Linked DNA regions of Astyanax mexicanus. The protein of the gene in region 2 interacts with the protein of the main gene of each other region in a pairwise test. Links are inferred from orthologs where the notes say so. Each region holds a gene or a part of one and is shown on either strand. Other genes may lie near its edges.

Region 1 (3,758 bases), on a different chromosome or scaffold from region 2:
TATTAGCATCAAACAATTGAGCAGTAGAGCCAATCAGAAACTATTCTAATTCTAAATGTAGAAAGTACTGATTAAAAAACAATTTTTAATTTTTTTTTTACATTTGAACTGCCACAAGTTATAGAGCAGTTCTAGCTAGTTTTATGGACATAGCTATTTTGCTGACCAAAATGCAGAACAAAAATCTAGATTTAAAAATCTACTAAACTATGAAACTATATTTAATATTTATAGCCTATACTCTTTTTTAATAAGATGTAAACTTTAAATTTAAGTAAAATCTCCTTACTTACCATTTGGGGATGAGGCTGAATTGGTTTAGTGAAGATTAGATTAATGAAGGAAGCTCCATCTTGGAAAGATATTATTATTTTGATTTAGGCATAATAGATGAGCTTAACTCTTGACACAAGCCATTATCCTGAAGGGGTAGAATCAAATGATCTGATCAACTAAGAGCGTGGACAATTTTAAACAAATTTAATTACATGGCGTTTTTTACTGGTGTTGCCGCAAAGCAGCTTTGCAGAAATATAATTACAGGACAGAGAATCAGACAAAACATTTAACATAAAAATAAACTTACCATTATATAAAACATACAGCCTAAAATGGTTCCTCAATGTTTCTTTAATAAAACTAATGGTTCAAAAATATTAAACATTAAAAATTAATGCATAACTGGACTTGATGTAGCACTAAACTGGGTTTCACTATAATTAGAATATAAAAATAGATTTATAGTATTAAATTAATGCAATAATTATGCAAACCATACGGATTGTGTCTATATGTAGTGCATAAAAACCTTTTTATTGCAATGTAGATTCTGTAAATTATTTTTTTTTACAGATTTTCTTGTGAATGAAAAAACAATATACGTGTCAAAGAACTGTGCATGCATTTAAATCTGTTTTTGCATTGTCACCATTGCATTTTGAAACTTTTTATATCACTCTGCATCTCTTTAACACTCTCTATCTCTCTCACTCCCTCACTCACACATACTCTCACACACACCCTCACACATGCACTAAAAGTGATTGTGAAGAGATAATTGGTGTACACACAATAGCTGCTTATAGCTGATTCACTGGATGCAGTGGTTTTGATGAGTCGAGCTCCTTTCTGGGTCACTGCACAAACTGCGTGCGGCGCACTGAATGGGCCACTACCTAATACACAAGGTCATCCGAACCATGCCTTTATTGTGCATGTTCACCCCCCCCCCCCCCCCCCCCCCACCAAGCTCCCCTATACCCCCCACCCTACACATCACACTCCCACAATTTCACACGCTCTCGATATCTCACTCTCGAACATTCGTCAAACGAACAGACAGTGTGTTACAGACTGTATCTTCCACTGTAGTGTAAGTACTCTGCTTTTTACTCTGTACCATAAATACAATAGATTTATGTAGTTTTTTCTATTATTATGATCCATAATTGTGCCGGTAATTGGTTCCTTAGGTGCTGATTTGCGTATTTTGTGTATTTCTAAAGATTTACTGAATATTTAGACAACCAACTAATCTATAGTTAGTTACTGAATCATTTAAGGTGTTTACTGATTTTTTATTAGTACATATTTAATAACTGTAGCTAATAAATTATTTATTGTTGGTACTAAATTTTGTATAATTGAGTACAGTATAGTAAAAAGGGAGTAATCTTTAGTACTCACAGAAGAAAAGGTAAGGTAGGTCCTAAATTACTTAATATAGTATTAGAATAGTATTTAGTATAATAAATAATAATTATGAATACTGTAGTAGATCCTAAATACTTTATAAAGGATAATCCATTATTTATAATAGTTACTGAATTATTTAGATTATCTAAATAATAATAATATTAATATAAATAATAATGTATATTAATCATAGGTGTATTATTTAGGGTTGGTAGCGAATAATAATAATGAATTGCTTTTTGAGGAATTTATAGTAGGTGCTGAGTAATACAGTGCATTTCCTGAAAACTTTGTATTAGGTATGAATAACTTTAGTATTAAGTATTTATGGTAGGGAACTTTCATTTTCATACATAAATAACTAAATACTAAATTATTAACTGTAGTTACTTAATTAATGAAACTAGTTACAGGATCATCTACATTTTAGGTATTGAGTGATTTTAAGAAAACTCAAACTTGAAACTTAAGAAAAAAATAATTAGTATCATTTAATTTGGATGGTCCATCAGTTTACTTACAGATGCTCAACCAACATTTAACTAACATTCAACTAACATTCAACTGCATGTCTATTAAATGCAACTGAAATTTATACTTTTATACTGACATTGTGGTCTTCAGAGAGCTACAGGAAAGCGAGTCAGTAAATATATAATACATAGCTGTATTGCATTTTTGCTGTGGCAATGCTTTTTAAAGAAATGTTCATTTTTCTGATTTATTAATATTTTATTCTAACAACGTATAGTACATTCTAGTTTTGAAAAACTTGTTAAATCAGATATACATGGCCAGTTTTTCTCTGTGCTAGCCTCCTCTTTTTAAAGAGAATGCTGACTGTGTGTTGGGGGCAGCTCGTTTTTTGCTGGATCATGCCCTCTCTGACTGTTCCAGACACACTGGTCCTCACGCTCAGACTGTGTACACAGGAAAAGCCTTGTGGTGAAATTTTCCAAAACAACTTCTGCAAAATACCAAATATCAGTTGATCACAGTTAAGAGAAATTAAAGACAAAGAGTCCTATCAAACACCCTGTGCAAGGTGCGTCGCGATGCTCCTTTTTTTGTTTCATACTCTATCAAAGGTCTGTTTTCACGCATTGTGCCCGTGTAGTTAAAATAGTGTCGGAGTTTAGGAATAAATCTACACTGAAGGGCGTAGTGATCTGGAAGTGAGGTGTGTTCAGATACATTTCTGGCATGTTTGTATTTTGGCGGTGAAAAACACAGGTGCTTCACTGACTGATAACCCAAGACAAAAGTCAATTTGCCTAGTACACATTTTAGTATATTCTTTATTTTAAAGCACCCACTGCAGCTCTGAAAGGGCTTGGTAATGTGCTGATTAGTTGAATCAGGTGTGTTGGGAGAAGACACCATACCTCTAAAGAGCCAGAACCGCTCATTCAGCAATAGTACATGACCTCACTAATGTTCTTGTGGTGGAAAACAATCACAAATAGTATTAACAATTAATTACTCAGTATGTTACTCAGCTATTAATGCAAAAATAAGAGACCACTTGATGAGTTTCTTTGATTTTACTAAATTGAAAACATCTGGAATATAATTAAGAGGAAGATGGATGATCACAGCCCATTTATTATTGCGCCAGGAGTAGCATAAAGTTATCCAAAAGCAGTGTGTAAGACTGGTGGAGGAGAACATGCCAAGATGCATGAAAACTGTGATTAAAAATGTCTGAATTCTTAAAACTTTATAAGTATGAAATTGAATTACTTGTTTTTCTTGCATATTTTTTTGTTATTTCAGCCATTTCTCATTTTCTGCAAATAAATGCTCTAAATTACAATATTTTTATTTGGTATTAGAGAAAAATATTGTCCGTAGTTTATAGAATAAAACAACGTTCATTTTACTCAAACATACACCTATAAATAGCAAAATTAAAAAAAACGATACAGAAACTGAAGTGTTCTCTAAATTTATTCCAGAGCTGTATAATAGACAAGGAGGTGGTGCTAAAACTTTGAGTGCCTCATGCCTTAGAAATCTTATGTATATGTTTTTCAGTGTTGTCACCGATGACCATCGCTGGA
Region 2 (3,758 bases):
CCCCTTACGTCACGAGTTTGGTGCGCTTCCCAGCGTATTTTTTACCCACCCGTTTTTGACATGTCCCTTGTTCTGGGCTCGGATTGGCTGATAGTATTCCTCGAGCTGAGTTTGGATTGGCTAGCAGCTTATTTTCATAAATTTTTTTTCTTGAAGACATTCGCTGCTAAAAGATATGGTTATTTTCCTAATCAATACCTGATTACTAATATAATTAAGGAAGTGTCATATAAGCTTGTATTGTTACATAAAATATATCCAGCCAAAAGCTTTTTTATAACATTTACGCACAATTTTGAAACAGATTTAAAATATAATTTTGGAAAACGTAAGTGCTTATGTTATTTTAAAATGCATGAAATGTACTGTCTGGTATATTTTCTGTCTTTTGCTGAATTACAGATATAAATATGCACATGCATATTTTAAAACATTCTTTCTCTTTATATATTTTATTGCTGTCTAAAATGTCTACTTGTCTAGCGTGTATTTATTTTGTTATATGTGCACATTGGAGCCTGGAGAAACCTCCAATCACGTTTAACTATGCATTCCTTGCTGTATATTTTAAGTAAGAAAGAAGTAGAAAAGTTCATTTTAAATTTTACTTTGATATATCATACATTTTATATGTTTTTAATGGTCACATTTTAAATAATTATTAATTGTAATGTTTCCAGTTAAAATATATTTTGTTGCTTTTGAAAAAGAGATGAAACACTATATTAAATTAATACAGCCCTTTTCGAAGCAAAAAGCCATTTTACAGTTAAATAAATCATGTTTATTAGCCTAGCAATATTATTAATAATTGTGTATTTGTGTGTATACTATTATTTTCTATGTATTATGTTTGATTGTAATGGATAAAATTAAATAAAAAAATAATAATAATAAAACCTGGAGCGGCCAATCCCAGTTGAGGGGGCGGTGTTTGTCTGAAAACAGGTGGAAAAGGAAATAACGCCGCTTCTCCGGGGCCTCTGGCACACAGTCACACGCAGGATCCACGAAAAAAGTAGGTTACAGGAACTGAAAGTACTCAGTACTTCAGACACCTAAACAACTTTTATACGGGTAGCTAAACAGTCGTGACCTTGTCGAAGACGTGGTGAAGTGAGGCGGGCCGTTTTCAGCGCTCTTTGGTGTGACAACGAGAGAGGATGGCGCTAGGTTAGCTCTAATGTTAGTCATCTAACCTAGCATGAGCTAGCATAGGCAGACCAGCAGCACTGTAACTTTTTCTTTTAAGGGGACAGTGGGGACAGGAGGCTATTAGTGATTCAGTAATGAATTTTAATTTAATCCTGTTTTGTGTGCACGCTAGTGGTTTATCATGCTCCAGTCCAAAACACAGATGTCTTCTTCTTTAAGCTTCTCGCCTGAAATGTTTAACCTAGCTACCAGATTTAGCTCATTTTAACTAGCTACGTTAAATAGTTAACCTAACAGTATTTTGTAACACAGTCCGACACAGGGCAGCATCTTCGTCCCTTAAAGTTCAGGATCGTGAGCTGTAGATTAACTGTGTGTGTTGTGCAGATGAGAGGCGAGTCAGGCCAGCTGTAGATGAGCTGGATTAGCCAGCACTTGTTTTTGAAGAGGTAGGGTAACGTTAACGGAAATCAATAAATGCTCCATTGTTCCTGTTTTCTCCGCAGCCCTCGCACGATACGCTGCGGGTTTCGGGGAAGCTGCATGGCTAATTATTCTGTGCTGAAACCTGGACGTGTCGTGTTGGTTAAGATTTACTATAGTTTACTATAGTCTAAACTGTAGATAGATAGTTAGATAGCTAGGAGTGTGACACTGGCCCACTTTGATTCACCACTGCTTCGTTCAGTATGTTGTTTACTAGCTTGTGTCCACCTAAAAACTAACATTCTCTTATTAGTTACACGTCCAGAACTCGGCCCAACACTCCTCGGGGTTGAGTTTGCGTCCGACAGGGTCCAGGCACCAGCCTAGTCCGCCTGAGCACGCCAAACCTTCTCGCAAACTTTTACAGCTAACGCTAGTTAACAAGCTATCTAGCTACCTACCTACCTAGCTAGATAACTAGCCAGCTTAATGTTAATTTTAAGTTATTTTTCGTTTTAACTAGATAATTATTGCTCTCTTGTCTTTTATCTAGCTATATGATACAGTTTAAATTTCTCAGACATTATTTATGTCTAGTTCTGACACCGGTATACCGTGATGTTGACATACCGTGATGCTGCTCTTCGGTAACAACATATCGGCTAGTAAGCTAACCTATCTAACTAGGTTGACTCGGTTACTGTGTTAGGTTAACGTTACTTGGTTAGTTAGCAGTAGGTTATATAGTTAGCTAGTTATCTATGATAAAGTGACAGTAAAACAGTAACGTTAGCATTTGTATGACCAACCGCCTTTTCCACTCTTCTAAACACTATGGGGCAGCTTCCTCCGGACAGGGAGTAAGCCTAGTCATTAGTCCTATCTGAAATCTCATTCATGGGGGGGATCCTCTTTGATTTTATTCCAGTCCGGGAACGACCATGTACGTGCTTTTCCCAAACGTCTTCTGAATTACTTACTGTTTTTCGCTGAAATATTTAGTCCCCACCAGACACAAATCTAATTTTCATTACCTCGCATTTTATAAAATAGTTGTCCACTGCCACACACTGTCATTACACTTCGGCCGTGCGTTTCCACGGAGATCCACTTAAACAATAGCGAGTGGAAATAGAGGAGCTACTGAACCCGATGTCACGTGACTGAGAAAGCCAAAAAACTCACCGGTCCTCCTGTTTATATATATATATATATATATATATATATATATATACAGTGCCCTCCATAATTATTGGCACCCCTGGTTAAGATGTGTTCTTTAGCTTCTCATAAATTGAGTTTTGTTCAAAATAATATAGGACCACGATGGAAAAAAAGAGTAAAATACAACCTTTAACTCAAGTGAATTTATTCAGTAGGAAAAAAATCCCACATTAAGAAATAATTATTTAACATCAAATCATGTGTGCCACAATTATTAGCACCCCTGATGTTAATACTTTGTACAACCCCCTTTTGCCAACAAAACAGCACCTAATCTTCTCCTGTAATGTTTCACAAGATGGGAGAATACAGAAAGAGGGATCTTTGACTATTCCTCTTTGCACATTCTCTCTAAATCATCCAACGACCTGGGTCCTCTCCTCTGCACTCTCCTCTTCAGCTCACCCCACAGGTTTTCAATGGGGTTGAGGTCTGGGGACTGAGATGGCCATGGGAGGAGCTTGATTCTGTGTGCGGTGAACCATTTCTGTGTAGATTTGGCCACATGTTTAGGGTCATTATCTTGCTGAAAGACCCAGTGACGACCCATCTTCAGCTTTCGGGCAGAAGCCACCAGATTTTGTTTTAAAATGTCCTGGTATTTTAGAGCATTCATGATGCCATGCACCCTAACAAGGTTCCCAGGGCCTTTAGAAGAGAAACAGGCCCACAGCATCACTGATCCCCCGCCGTATTTCACAGTGGGCATGAGGTGCTTTTCTGCATACTCAGCTCTTGTGTTACGCCAGACCCACTTAGAGCATTTGTTGCCAAAAAGCTCTATCTTTGTTTCATCTGACCAAAGCACACGGTCCCAGTTGAAGTCATAGTACCGCTTAGCAAACTCCAAACGTTTGCGTTTATGATTGTGAGTGAGAAATGGTTTCTTCCGTGCATGCCTCCCAAACAGCTTGTTGGCATGTAGATAGCGCCTGATGGTTGTTTTGGAGACT

What was found. The genes of interacting proteins can lie anywhere in the genome.
Region 1: the proteins of trip6 (region 2) and neu4 interact in binary tests that used the Homo sapiens proteins (3 or more experiments, as listed by UniProt). The two-hybrid records come from large-scale screens. The link is inferred for Astyanax mexicanus from reciprocal best matches to the Homo sapiens genes TRIP6 and NEU4.

The regions. Positions count from the first base shown.
Region 1 is NC_064411.1:41,214,231-41,217,988, reverse strand, and holds the start of neu4 (sialidase-4), read left to right. Parts: upstream 1-1,308; 5' UTR 1,309-1,372; intron 1,373-3,732; 5' UTR 3,733-3,758. UniProt on the Homo sapiens protein: Exo-alpha-sialidase that catalyzes the hydrolytic cleavage of the terminal sialic acid (N-acetylneuraminic acid, Neu5Ac) of a glycan moiety in the catabolism of glycolipids, glycoproteins and oligosacharides.
Region 2 is NC_064415.1:18,461,362-18,465,119, reverse strand, and holds the start of trip6 (thyroid receptor-interacting protein 6), read left to right. Parts: upstream 1-942; 5' UTR 943-1,018; intron 1,019-1,051; exon of another isoform or gene 1,052-1,173; intron 1,174-3,758. UniProt on the Homo sapiens protein: Relays signals from the cell surface to the nucleus to weaken adherens junction and promote actin cytoskeleton reorganization and cell invasiveness. Involved in lysophosphatidic acid-induced cell adhesion and migration.